2 linked regions of the Coturnix japonica genome follow. The protein of the gene in region 1 purifies or fractionates together with the protein of each later gene. This does not show direct contact. Links are inferred from orthologs where the notes say so. Each region holds a gene or a part of one and is shown on either strand. Other genes may lie near its edges.

Evidence for each region. The genes of interacting proteins can lie anywhere in the genome.
Region 2: the proteins of EXOC2 (region 1) and EXOC6 purify together in Homo sapiens (affinity purification with mass spectrometry; 5 studies listed by BioGRID and IntAct, counting the BioPlex papers as one, with this or other methods). This does not show direct contact. The link is inferred for Coturnix japonica from reciprocal best matches to the Homo sapiens genes EXOC2 and EXOC6.

What each region holds. Positions count from the first base shown.
Region 1 is NC_029517.1:62,020,005-62,027,622, forward strand, and holds part of EXOC2 (exocyst complex component 2), read left to right. Parts: intron 1-3,150; coding exon 3,151-3,219; intron 3,220-3,472; coding exon 3,473-3,630; intron 3,631-5,734; coding exon 5,735-5,856; intron 5,857-7,618. UniProt on the Homo sapiens protein: Component of the exocyst complex involved in the docking of exocytic vesicles with fusion sites on the plasma membrane.
Region 2 is NC_029521.1:17,888,177-17,895,794, reverse strand, and holds part of EXOC6 (exocyst complex component 6), read left to right. Parts: intron 1-115; coding exon 116-187; intron 188-837; coding exon 838-935; intron 936-1,880; coding exon 1,881-1,986; intron 1,987-2,897; coding exon 2,898-3,007; intron 3,008-4,008; coding exon 4,009-4,120; intron 4,121-5,337; coding exon 5,338-5,472; intron 5,473-7,515; coding exon 7,516-7,618. UniProt on the Homo sapiens protein: Component of the exocyst complex involved in the docking of exocytic vesicles with fusion sites on the plasma membrane.

The sequences.
Region 1 (7,618 bases):
TTTGGCTCACTTCTGGTCCTCAAGCTGTGCTGCTCCTTCTTCAGGGGAATTAGAGGATTGGGATATTTCCAAGGAGCAAGTCTAATAAACACATAATTTATGCATGGTAAAATGTAGTCTTCTGTGCCTTCAAGAGATGTCTAGGCACTCATTCATACCTTATCTACATAACTTTCACTGGAAAGACTTGTTACTGCAAGTCATATGCTGGTCATTGAGGATCCTAGAAAAGTGTGAAAACAAGGTCTTCAAGCAGATATAGTGTCAGTCAGGATACAACAAAGCAGTTGGAAAGTAAGCTAGTCTTATTCAGATCGGTTTCTTTATTTATATATATATATATAATATATAAAAAATATTTATATACCTAAGGTTTTTGTTTATTGGTAACAATCTCATTTAATCTCTTGAGAATTCTCATCCTGTCATGCTTACAGTATCCTGTATTTAGAATCCTAAATCATCACAGTAGCATTATTCCACTGCAAAAATTATCTCTAAATTAGAACTACAGTGACAATTATTCCGTTATTTTCCCTTTTCTCTATCTAAAGAATTGCATTTTCAAGCTATCAGTTCTACTTTTACCGCTGTCTCTTTTTTACTGTAATGTTTTCATATGATAATGCTCATAAGTACTATAGCCTATATGGAGCTACGGTGAAATAGATTCTATTTATGATCATATTTTCACCTGATAAAAAATTGAAAGAAAGGTTTTGCATTTACTCATAACATTGTGTGAAAGAAGTGGAATCAAGAATAAACTTCATACTGTTGACTTTCACAAAAATTGTTCATTTCGTAAGGGAAATGACTTTTGTATTTGATAATAGCACTTTGGAAATTTGACTTCACAAATTCAACTGCAAGTTATTGTGATTTTCTTTCTCTGAGTGCAATGAAAAGGAAAGCAATTTCAAGGGAAGCCGAGACTTGAACTGTAAATGAGGTTGAGAAATTCTGCTCTTGAGAATAACGGCTAATGGAAATTACAGTGACCTTATGTCCCATCAAAACATGTTTTCCATGTTAGTTATTAAAAAAAAAGGGGGGGGGGGGGGGGAGGGCTGGTGGGGAGAGGAATGGGGCAAAAGTGCTTTTCCTGTTAGTCTGCAAAGTGTCTGTATTCTCCTGTTGGGCCAGATTCTGAGCTTTTAAGAAATTCTCCTCCATATACATGGCTTCTTCTGATCCATTGGTCACACATAGGACCAATTTTCATCCGCATGTAAGATCCATTTGTTCTTGGAAACAGGAGGAAGGACTGTGTTCTCAGTTCCTTTTGAGCATCTGCTTGCCACAAGTCACCTGAGAGGAGCAAAGAGAATGTAGTGGTATAACTTGGAAGGTTTATTCCAGGGTACCTAGTAGAATCTGTCAGCACATCTCATTCAAGACTTGAGCCTGACATCTTTTTCTATAAGAAACCATATAGGTCTTATATGTCTTTTAAGAAATATATTTACCGTGTCTCTTGTTGTTTGTTATCATTATTGAAACTTGGCGTTCTGGAAGCAGTCATCTTTGCTGCTAATATTCTGTGAGAAAAATCCTGTGAAAATGGTATAGAGGATCATTTCAATGGACTTTGATGAATCTAAAAGAAAATCCCCACTTATTAATAATAAGCTGTATTTATTTTCTCTTGTTTGGTTTGTAGGTTTTTTTGGGTAGGTTTGTTGTTTTTTTTTTTTTACTTCTGAAAGGTTATCTCGTGTGTCTTCCAATACTGTCAGTTAAAGATTTACGTGATATTTTCAACAGTTTAAAAAGGGTAGTTCTTTGAATCATTCTAGGTGAAATAGCGTATCTGAGTAGTAACCGTTGGTCTTACCACAAAATAGTTTTGGTCTGTCTGTGCAGGAAAGAATTAAGATTGATCTTCAGCAAAACCACTGAGAAAAGGCATATCAAAGATTTCTGGACTTTTTGTTGTTCTTTAATCCAGCAGCAAGAGTGTGAATTTTAATTTGATACTTGAGGTTTAAAGGAGTGCAGTTTCTTTTTGTTTTTCAGGCATTACAAGAGGGAAATGGTTATTATGTACAGCAGTAATTCTTCAGCTTTGTTCTCCTTGTCTGAAACTCTAGAGTTCAGCTTTGGAGTATAACAGTTTCATAGCGCTTTATTTTCCAAAACTGTTAAGTTCTGTGGTTCTATTTTTCTCTAATTTATTTTCAATTCAAAATGCTTATTTTATCCTAAAAATCTGTAACATAGATGGAATTCAAATGATAGTATTTTAGTTTAATAATCTGAAAGTAAACTTAGTCTGAGAATAAACTATTGTCTTGTTATTGCACTCTTTGTCCAGTAGATGTTGCTGTACATACATAAAATAGGAGATTTTCTAAGTATAAAGCTGTATCTACACTTAACATGGTATTTTGAATGGCTTTTTCTCTATAATTTGCTTTGTTTCTCAGTAGACTCCACAGAAAGTTGTACTACAAACAGGAAGACTATTAGTCAAACCACGTTTTTCTTCAACTGTAACTGTCTCATGCAAAGTGTGCTGATGTTCCTCCATTTTCAGAAATGTGAACTGTCCATGAAGATGCTGATTATTTTGCAGTGTCTCTTTTTCAGTCAGTTGAATTGTCTCAAGAATATTTTCAGCACAATACTGTTTCTATAGGCACATGAGCAGAAAAAAAATTAAGTTTTAAAAAGCATACCATCTTCTACACACATTGCAATTCCAAATTGCTCACATTACATAAAGCATCTGTCACTTCATGTCAGTATTCTTATCTGGGTAGCTTCTATGCGGAGAATATAATTTCTTCATAGAAATCTGTTGCACAGTTAGGCTATGTATGTTGTAGTTCTCATTAACATTTCAATGAGAGTAGTTTAATTTTATGATGTTTGTCTTATATGAGCTGCTCTTGGACTTATCTCCAGCTTTGTTTCAAATAAACGTTGTTCCTCGGAACTAAACATTAGCACACTGACCAACTGGAAGTAAAGTTCATTGTCAGGTATAGTCTCTGCCTGTTCAGATAGCGTGAGTTAGTTTTTATAATTACATCACAAACTCAGTGATTGGTTTTCACTTCTTCACATTGAAACCCCCCTTTTTCAGAATTATTTTAAAAGTGGTTATGAGATACTTACACTTTTCAATTTTCTCATTTTCACCAGACTGCTGAAAAATCTGGCCAAATGGAAAAATCAAAGAAAAACGCTAGACAAAGACAAAATGATTTCAAGGTATGTTATGGCAAGGAAACATTGCTTTCTTTCACTTGCCCTTCCAAGCAGGATGCTTAAGCATCACCACCTTGAAAACCAGATTTCTTAAATCATGTGTGCCCTTATACCTCATCTTTCCAGACTCTCTAGCATGAGGAGCCTTATGTAAATCTAATGTTACAAGGTGCTATATATAGCAAGTACATGCATTCCTGCTTAAGCATACTGGTAGGTCTTTTGTTTGATTTTGCTTTCCCTTATTCTGATACAGAAAATGATTCAGGAAGTTATGCATTCCCTGGAGAAACTTATCCGTGGAGCTTTGCTTCCCTTCAGCCTCAAAGAAGGAGAATCAAGACAGTATGGTGGCTGGGAGATGAAATCTGAACTTTCTGGCCAGTGGCTAACACATGTTATCCAGACAGTAAGGTAAATGAAGCTGTTGACCTGCAATATGTTGTTACTGCTAGAATGTGTACTTTTTTTAGCACGTATTGTTTTGGGTTTGTGGGTTGCTTTTTTTTGTTAAATACTCTGAGTACTGAGAAAGTTAATTTTCTTTTCAAAAATATAATCACAAAAAAAATGCTTGTGGAAGATTTAGGATTCTGAGTCCAAGTTTAATTCATGGTGTCTCATAGTCTTACTATGTAATTATAATCTCTTTATTTTACCCAGAGAACCTAGGTAGAAGTTTGATTAAATAATTTACATGAGGTGGGATTTGATTCTTTAGAGTAGAATTATTAGGAAGCTTTGCAATTAGCATCTTCCCATCTTCACATTTCTGCCAAAATGGGTAAAAATGACATGCCTCTACTATAGTGTGATTCTTAAGATACTGTTTACTTTCTTAACTGTCTTATGAAAGGTGATGTCATGATGTCATTCTTTTTATAATTGTTTATTTATAAACTTATTAGTGTGCGTGTCATCAATTTCAAAATGTCTCAGTAAACGTACAGAATTTGCTTCCATTTCTCTATGGAGAATGTAAGCATCATCACTAGCTTTTGGAAACTCAAGTAATACCTAGATTTGACACTGTACTTTTTACCTGCAAGTTTCAAAGTCAATAACAAGAAAATTAGAGTTAAGCGTACCCTTCTTTATTATCTTACACATGTTAACTCATACATAGTTAATTCTTTCTAGAGATGAGTCGCAATGTTGCATACCTTTTGTTGAGTATTTTTAGCACTTCCCAGGTGCTCACACCAACAAAGCAGATAGACTCTTCTGAATAATCTGTGTATTGCAAATAAACCTTACTAGTTGCAAACTTATGTAGTATCTTAGGTCATATCTTTATAATTCCCAACGTATTTTCATCTTGAAGCGCCTGATAGGATCCTGCTCTTTTCAGTCATTTCACAAACAATTGTTTTTTGTTTGTATTTGGAAAATCATAAAGCACAGAGGGGGGTGGTTATGCAGCTTTGTTCTTTGTATCACACTCTGTCATTCCCTGGGTTGAGTAGGTTCCAGAGGACAAATTGGAGCTTAATATAAGGTGAAGCTATTGCCTGCAAGACTTCAGCCTCATTGTAGGTATAGAATGGTATTTGCATTGGGGTCAGTTATAGAAGGAAAAGTGAGGGTGTTGAAAGCTTTGTGCTTACTTGGGAATGGAATCAGCTCTACGTACTTTTATGCAGTGTAAAGTTGCTTAAACTTCTCACAGATGTCTGTTAAACCCTGTGTTTCATCGATGACTGAGATAATGCAGATTTATTAAATTTACAAATTCAGTAGTTGTGTTGAACTGATAGAAGTCAAAATCTGCTGTCTGAGCTTTGTTCAGTATTAACAGCAGGGGAAACAACAACTACATTTGAGTTGTCCTTGCTCAGACACCCAGGAGATAAATAAAAACAATAAACTTTACTTTGTGCCCATTACTACAGTCTGTAGCCTACAGTCATTTTTTAAAAAGCTAAAATGCTATTTCTTGTAAGGAGCTGTTGTATTGGTATTTCTAAAGGGAAAAATAGAAGTGAATCTTTCCATCTTCTGCTACTCTGTCTGGTGGTATAAGGCCAGTCACTGCTGGCAACAAAATAGTTAATGAATTCGCTCTTCACTTGGCAGTAGCTGTATTTTGTATTGTGTATACCGTCATGATCTGACACATGGCTACATCACCATTTATTGATGACTGTTATTGTTTAATACAGGTAGACTATAATTCAGTATCCTCATTGTAGACCTAAGATTTGCTGTATACATACATAGCAAAAGAAGGTACCTCTGCTGCAGAAGGAATCTTAGATTAAAGGACAAGATCATTGCAGGAAGGCAGGAGGAAAAGTGCAAGAATTGACATTAATGTTATAGGAAAAATAAATCTATATTTTCATGTTTATGAATTAAGCAAATAAGTAAACTTATGAATGGGGTAGCTAGTTTTCAGAGGCTTAATATGGGTGAAGCTACTGTATTGACAGCCAGTTTAAAAAGATTTGTGTAGTTTTATCAGCTTAAAAGACTTATAGGTTTACATGTTATTTTTTTTCTTTTCTTTTCTTTCCAGGCTTAGCTCTGAGTCTCTTACTGCACTTGAGATACCTAATGATATGCTTCAGATCATCCAGGATCTTATTTTAGACCTTCGAGTACGTTGCATTATAGTGACTTTGCAACACACAGCTGAAGGTAATAAAAGACTGCATCTCTCTCTGCTCACCAAACCAGATTCAAGACAATAATTGTGTTTGTTACAGTTGTTTAATTGACAGTGAATTCTGTAATATCTCACAAGAATTACTGAAATATTTTGCTACTCTGAGAAAATTCTGTATTCTGAATGTTTTCTTCCCTTAATTGGATGGATGCTGTAGTTGAAATCTGTCTTCTCTTAGCTGAGGCAGTTTTATAATGCAAGTGATTTATCTCATCATGCAACTTTTCTGTATTGGAAATACCACTTATTTTCTTTTTTGAGTTCTTCCACAGAGTGAATAATTAAATAGGCAGTGCCCTCTGCCCCAAAACCCCTGGTCCAGCTCTTACCCCCTATCTTCTGCCTGGTCTTCCTTATACCCCCCCGGCCCAATTTAAAACAAACAAACAAAAAAAAAAACCCTTTGTGGAATATTCTAGTTGTGGGTTTTTCCACAGTGTAATTCTCATATTTACAACATAAACAATATAATCCTTGTGCTTCCAACAGTGTACGTAGTTTTTGTCATAAATGTCAGAATCATAAAGGCCAATAATACATTCTGTAGTGTGATTCTGTGTGCATCAGAGGCAATTCATCTTATCAACTCGTAGTTAATTCTGAAACTTGAATTCAAGTGAAGTAAATCTTGCGGAAATAAATCTCCCTCTTAATAAAAGTTCAGACTAATAGTTCAACATTTTTTCCTAAGAGGGATTAATTACCCTCAATGCTAAAACAACAATTTTAATAACCTTCTCAAATTAAATTTACAGTTTAATCAATTTTTTCTCTATTATACATTTTGTCATTATTTAATTGACATGAATCTAAGCATCTTACTCAAGCCTTAAAAGTGCTAAGTGTGGGTGACTACATTCATTAAACAAATTTTTAAAGTTTCAGTGACAAGTGTGAAAGTCTGTATTATTTATTCTATACAACATTAATATTAATTGTATTTTTGTCTCTTATTTGACTAAATCCCACTTCAGCATTAATATTATTTTGCCTACATTAATACCAAGCATATTAGCCATACTGGTGTACTGATTGTCTTTCTTACACTCTGTGGGGCAAGTATTATCACTGTTTAAGATTTTACTTGAAATATGAAGATATTGATCTCTGTGAGTTACTTACTCATAGATTATTTTTTTAGACAAGACTGGATTAGTTGGACCCTTGGAGAAACTGTTGTTTTTAGAGAATCGATGAAAGAACAACTAATGGGTATTCTCATTGGGCTATGTAAACTGGTCTCAGACCTACCCATGTTGTATTAGTTGAAGGGCTCTTCTCGAGCTTGAATCTCTATAAGCTATCTGAATTATGAGCTGCAGAGACTATTAATGTAAGGCTCAATCTCATACTCCATGTCATAAGTTGATAGGGTCATTCAGATCAATTGATAGATCATTCTACCATTAGCTATTTAAGTGGGATGAATCTGCCCACACAGAGGGTTTTCTTGTTATTTTATATACAGCACTCAAGAGCAATCTCTGTTCTTTCTCTGTCGTGTGCGTTCACTGGTCATAAAGGTCATGAAACCCAGACTGATGAATGCCAAATCAGACAGGGAGTTTACATGAGTGTATTTGACTGGAATATGGTGAATTATTTCACTGAAATTAATTGTTGTTGTTGTTGAGGGGTGGGGGGTTGTGTTGTTTTTTTTTAGATTGATTGTTTTTTTAGTATATATTTTTGCTAGCTCAGATCTGAATTTAAAAAAAAAAAAAAAAGCCAACA
Region 2 (7,618 bases), on another chromosome or scaffold:
TCAGGGATACAGGTAAGGCTGGAGAGTTCAACCTTTCTTTTGTACTGATGTTCTTTGAAAACATATGTCCAGTGTTCTGAATCATTTTAACAAAACCAGAATTTCTCACTTTCAGTCATATTGCAATGATCCTGACCTTGTTCTGGAACTGAAGAATCTCATTGTGGTATTTGCTGATACTTTACAGGTGGGTATTATATTAGCAATTTAACTGAAATTCATAGGGCCAAATTTGAACTTCAGGTGAGTGAGTACAATATTTTGGATCCTCTGATGTCGCATTTATATAAGTCAAGAGCAAAATTACAGAATAATGTTTTAAATAATAAAAATGTCTGTATTTTATGCCCTGGATCCTCCTTTTCACTGTTACCAACTGAATGTGTGTATTCTGGTTGATCCAGTTAGCATCGGCATATTCATAACTATGTTTCTGTTATCGTTGTATCTTGTGAACATTTTTGTCCTTTGTAAATGCTTTACTTCTGAACTTAAACATGAATGAACAGTCCTGCTATCATTAACTGTCTAGGGGGATGACCAAATGAATATCATTGGCAAATATTATCAGCCTGATAAAAAAAAGATTAGCTGTTTGCATAAATATCAAGTTAAAATGTTACAGAAAAATGGGACAGATTTTTGCTTGACAGCTGAAAGCATGGTAAAAAATATTTTGTAAGAATGTAACGATCTTTAAGTTGTGTATTTGAAGTAGTACCTTCTGATTTGTAGAAATGATAAGATTGATCAGTCTTGTTGTAGAGGCTTGAAGGTATAATAAGAATGAGCAAGTTAGTACTGGAATTATCCATCCTTTTCATTTTTATACTTTAGGGTTATGGTTTCCCTGTGAATCGACTCTTTGATCTTTTATTTGAGATAAGAGACCAGTACAATGAAACACTTCTTAAAAAGTGGTCTGGATTGTTCAGGTTAGTATTAGTATATAAAAATAATTGTGCCTTCCATATTGCATTTATTGCTTGTTGTCTTTAAATTTTGTTGCAGTTGTAATTCTGGAAGAATTGACTGAGTCAGTGCTGCACATGAAGTTCGGATTAGGTAGAACTAATGTATTCGTTGCGTGTAACTAATATTTTAGAGAAGAACTATCAAGGACTGCATCTGTAATTAATGGAGAGAAGAAACATTCCCTCTTAGGGACTTCTCTGGAGAAATACCAAGAGAAGGACACCTGTTTTTCTTAATTAGTAACCTAATCAGCCTAGACAACTGCAATAGTCTGTTGCCAATATGTTCTTAATTTAGGTTGTCATAATGTTTAATGTTGGACATTATGTGTATATTACTGACACACTTCTGATGTTGCCAATGTCTTCATGTTCTTTCAGTGCAAGAGGGTTTCCATGTGTTCTTTGGAATCATTTTTTGAATAGTTAACCCAGGAGTAGAGCAGTGTGGAACTGTACTCCAAAGTCTGTTTGCAGATATAGAGTATGATGTCTAAATTTTCAGATTTTGTTTACCATAAAAGGTGTTGAATCATATTACAGAAAATCTTAAAATTAAATCGACCACTTAAGATTCTCCTTACAGTTTTTCCTGGAATAGACTTGTTGTTCTGAAGTTCCTTTACTGTGTTCTGCTTTTGGACATGCATGATAAATGTTTTTAGCTTTTTTTTTAACTCTGTGATTGGACATAGCTTAAAGAGCAGTCATATAATAATTACTTTTGAATTCATCTAAACATATTTCAGACTTTTGAAACTAGAATGATTCCAGTTCATAATATTTTAACATTGCACACGTAAATGTAGTAGTAATTTGTATATTCATTAGTATGCTTTATTATTGTAAAATACTATTAATAAATTAAATATTCTTGTTTTTTCGCTTTATTAACTAATTTGCCAGGGATATTTTTGAAGCAGATAACTACAGCCCTATTCCTGTAGCAAATGAAGAAGAATACAAAATAGTTATAAGCAAATTTCCTTTTCAAGATTCAGAACTTGATAAGGTAAGGAAAAGTTTTGTTATTAAGATTTGCCAAAATCCAATTCGGAATGGTTAGAACAGAAATTATATTTCTAATTAGAAAGTAATTAAAAATAGAAAAGCTTGGTAGATTAAGAGTGTAATTATGTATTCATAAATAAATAGGAAAATTAAAGCTCTAATCACTTGCTCTGATGTTTGAGTGAATAATGAGACCTACTGTTTTGTAAACTAATAATTCATTTTAATCAATCCAGTCTTTATTTAATGAGTTAACTTAGATTTTGTTGCAAAACATTGGGTTTTGTAACCCATGGTATGTTGTATGCTGTGGTTTTGCAGCAATGCAGGTAATGATCATCAGGAATGTATTAGAGATAGCAACTTCATTATTTCACTTTGTAAATTAGTTATTTATTATCTGAATATGTGGGACAAAGTAGATATGAAGAGGCTGTAAAGAATTCTGCTGTACTGACATCCCAGTGGGATATTCTTTCTTAGCGTCAGCCATTCTCTCTAAAATTTTCTTTCATGGAAGGGTGATTAGTATGTTCTGCCTTCTGAAAGTGGTTTTGATGGAACTGATCAAGTAATAACAAACCCATGGTAGAATTTACATAAGGAAATTAAAGCACAGTGAGAGTAGTTGGTGTAGAGGGAAGCTGGTTTAATCAAGATGCACTGCTGCAGATACCTACCTGAAAATGGAATCTAATTTTATGATTCAGCAGGAAGATAGCTGATAGAGAACAATCAACACTCCAAACTTTAATGTATTTAAACGGATACAGAAATCAGTTCAATACACACCACAGAATATATTTGGTTTAAAATGGAAAAACTTATGATAGGTGAAATATTGGTAAGTGATTTTCCAGTATTTAATACCAATCTCTCCTTAGAATCAGAGGATTATCTTTATTTTTACAGCAGTCCTTTCCAAAGAAGCTCCCGATGTCTCAGTCAGTGCCTCAGATATATATCCAGGTTAAGGAATTCATTTATGCAAGCCTTAAGTTTTCAGAATCACTTCACCGCAGGTAATCTATAAGTACTGTGAATGCAAATGAGTATAAACTATCCCATAACTTCCAGGTAAACTAATAATTTGTATTAAATTGAAAATAGGTTTTCCTGGGTGCTTACTTGCTTTGTTTGTTTCTTAAATTACATGTGTAATTTGTTATATTTTATCTGTGATTCCCAGTGCTATGATATATATTTCATGTATGTATATACATGTAGGTATGGAATGCATGTATGTGTAAATGAATTTTGCTTAGTGTAGTGAACACACCAAAGCAGCATTAGGGCTTTTTTAACAGTATTGACTGATTTGGATAATCTGGAGATTTTTTTGTTGTTGTTTAACAAAGCCTGTATACTTTAATAATTATCATTTCAGAAATAATTGTGTAGCATCCCTGATTACTTTAAACACCTTACAATTTTCACTGCTTTGAGTTTCCCTAGTAATTATTTTTCCTGTAACACAACATGCTGTCTGCATGCTAATTCCCTCTTCTTTCCCACCTTTTCCCAAAGGAAAATATAACATTTCTGACATCTCCTGTTTTCTTGTGAAGCTTTAAAGCTCAGTTATAATTATGTAAAATAACGTGGCAGGTCTGAAATCTGGGAGTTATTTGTGACTGCTCACCCACTTCTGCTCCGTTAAAGATGTAAATGAATTGCTTTCACACGTTCTTAATTGTTACTGTTTATAATTTACACGTACTAATTGGTGCATGTTGACCTCCATGGTAACTCATTACAAAACACAAATTACTCCTTCCTAACTGCTGTGTCAATAAACACGTCCAAAATCTAAAAATAACAGGTTTTCTGCAACGTTGAAATGTAGTTAATGGATAATTTGGTAAATGAAAGAGGTGTTTTGTGTTAGATCACAGATGGCTTGAAGCAACCAGAAATTCAAGCACATGGATAATTCTGAATACTAAAAGTTCTCTTTGTAAGGAAGAAATAGAGTTTTACTGTCAAAGTATTGTCATGTTTTAAAAATGTACTTTTATTTCAGCTCAACGGAAATAGATGACATGCTTAGAAAATCAACGAATCTGCTGCTAACAAGAACTCTCAGTAGTTGTTTACAGAACCTAATTAAGAAACCTCACATAGGTTTAACAGAGGTAAGTTTTAAAATACTCACCCAGAACTGCATTCTTGTAAGGAAATTGGTGCTAAAACTATTCTTGTAAATGTGGATATTATATAGTATTGAGATTATGTAACGAAAATAAGTAGTGCTTACTTTAAAATTGAAATTTTAAAGAGATGAGGAATGTATTAACAAAAAAAAGGGTCAATGGCTGTGACATAAACAAAAACAACCAAACAATCAAAACCAATGTGGATCTAGTTGGAACTGAAGGATGATGCTTGTGCTACTGGAAGGAGTTAGACTGCTGCCATGAGTGCAGTGCAATTTTCATGTTTAGTTTTGCTTTAAAAATGGCAAGGATCTCTTGTGTAAATGAAATAAAAAGAAGATCATGAGGAGGGAAAGGTTCTAATTTGTATATTGACACACTTGTATGCCAAGCTATAAAATTATTCTGAGAAAGTTTTCTACATTCTTGAAATTGGTACAGAATATGAAAAAATCACTAATATTTTTTAGGTATTTAAATATCAGGATGGTATGTTATAATAAAAAAGTTTAAAATACAAAGCTGTTACTTTTCCTAACATTAGATTAGTGTTCACTAAAAGGTACTGGAGCCAGACTGCAAGTAGTGAAGATATTAGAAATCATACACCACTGTTTCAGTTATTATGCAGCATCTGTGTTGTGTAATTTATGAACTGAACATGAATGAAAGTCCTGCCTATAAAAAGATGTAAATAATATCAGTATCGTGCATATTTATTTCTAGAGCAGTATTATTACCATTTAGGGGGGGATGCAGTCATATATTTGAAATTTCCGAACTTCTTACTACATTGCTTTTATGTATTGATGTATTTATTTATTTTAATTGCAGCAATGATGTTTGCTTTCTTGTTTCCTTGCTTTTGTAGTATGAATTAGTGATTTAATTTTGGCAATATGTTATCCTTTATTTTCCCCTTTTTTAAATTCTGAAATAACAGTTGAATTAATTTCACTGGGTAGATATCTACAATCTTCATTTTTTTTAAAATGGCATTTGTATGTAAACTGTGGCATTACTCCTTACCGGTATTTGAAAGCTAACTTGAATGTTGTCAGTTGATAGCTGATAGCCTGAAATACTGCAGTAAACTTCTGGCAACACTGTTTCTGAAAGAAGCCCCCATTTACAAAAATCAAATGTCAATGAATAATAGAAAAAGGCATTTTATTATAATTATTTGTTTCTTGTAGCTTGTTCAAATCATCATAAACACAACGCACCTGGAACTAGCCTGTAAATACCTTGAGGATTTTATCTCTAACATCACAAATATTTCACAAGTGACTGTTCACACTGCCAGACTGTATGGACTTTCTACATTTAAGGTATGGTATATATTACCCGTTATGCAACCAGATATGAAAAGTTAATTCATTTGCAATGATTTTAATGTATTTAAAAACAAAAGGGGAGTGAGGGGAGAGCTGCATATTTTCTCATTTTGATTCTAAAAAAATCTGTTAGGAATTCAGTTTTAACCTTGAGCAGATAAACATTGTTTTTTATGTTATTGGTATGGGAATTTAATATACGAGAAACATCTACATTCCTGCAGATGCCTTTTTTATTAAGTTACAGAATGACAAACAAAGTTTGACTGCACCAGAAGCTTTCAATGGATTAAGCTCCAAGCAATGTGATATTTCACATTTCTGAATGGAATCGAGCAAAACAGCTACTGTAATTTGACATGTCTTATGTTTGCGGTATACTCTCAGACTGTGTAATGATAATATGAAAGCAGTATTTAGTATGTGTTACAAAGCATAGATTATCCAATTGTTTGTAGAATTCATGTTTTTATTTAGTATCCTTTACATTTATTTGCGCAGTAATGCTTGTTAAAATGGAAATAGAGCTAGATATGAACAATTATATTTGTGTATAATTACCTACAAAAAAAGCATTATTATTTACCTTTAAATAATAAGTATCCTCAGAGAAGGATTTTTCCAAAATTTTTTTTTTTGTCACTTATGTCTCCATGAATTAATGGTTGAGATTATAATCTTCAACCTTGTTCATTCAGAAAGCAAACCTGTATACTGTATGGAATCACATGAAAGGTTTCAAAGCATTCTCATGAGCAATAAGGTATCCTGTGGGAGGGCATTGGGATGGCACTGAAAGGAGCAGTGTTCTCTGTCAAGGTTTGCTGCTAGCTAACTCGAGATCAGAAATCAGTCATTTAACCTCTGCGTTTCTCAGTTTCTCTCTGTAGGCAAGAACTTAAATGATGAGTTGTAAAATAATTTTAAAAGTGCTGTAAGTTACTAATAATTGAAAATCTCCATACACAATGAATGCATCCAGGTTGTTGCTATATATTGCGAAACCAAGTTTTTGAATTTGTATATGTAAAATAAGACAGGAAATTACTTCATCAACCAACTTATTCTCATCAGTCCTTTTTTAAAAATTTATATTAAATGAAAAACTGCATGTAGTTCCCCAGCTGGGCCCCCATAGGGTTTGGCATGTTATTAAATTCGTCTCCTGGTGACAAATCGTGTCACTCCCATTCTTTCTGAGTGATCAAAAATCTCCTTTATTAGCATTGTTTGCAATCCTTGAGATGATCTCAAAAATGCAACCATACTGTAGTTTTTCTTGGGTCTCTTAATTTCTTTTGTTTTTTATTTCCTTTTTTTTAAAAAAAAAAAAAAGAAGTCCTCAAACATGTTTCATTGCTGCTATTTCTGAGGGCTGTTTTCCCCCTGTTATTATTGGATATAAGATGCCATTTTAAAATACCATTCAAACTCTCCTAGTATTCTTTTGTAACAGTGTAAAAGTAAATACAAGTACAAAAGAAAAACAAATAAACAGCCTCTCTGCCCTCAAAACGGTGTCACTGTTTTTCATTTTATCATATTAAAAAGCTGTGTAGCTTTCAGTACTTACAACATACTTTACAGCTTTGGATGGCTGAGTGCAGTTGTGGATACCATCGTATTCCTTTGCCTCTTTAAATCTGTGGTCACTCTCAACAAAAATAGATAAATCTGTGGATTTAGTTGGTAGAGATCAAATAAACCTTATCTCAGGGTTAATAAATTTGTAAAGCTGAATAAAACATGATTGCTGTGGAAGAGAGTAAAGCAATTCTTTTATTTCCAAATTCAAATATATTTCCTTGATTTCTGATAATTTAGTTTATTCTCTTAAAGTATACTTGTGTGTATTTATAGTATGCATCAGGAATTTATAAAAACTATGACTTCAGACTTACTGCTGCAAGACACAAGCTAACTTTACCCTAAAAATAAACCCTGTAAGACTTCAGTTTCATTGATGAAAAATATATAATCTGTGTTCTAGTAATATTCTAGAATTCTGGTAACTGTGCAATTCTTTTTTCCCCTCAGGATGCAAGGCATGCTGCAGAAGGAGAAATATATACAAAACTAAACCAAAAAATAGATGAATTTATTCAGATTGCTGACTATGATTGGACTATGTCTGAATCAG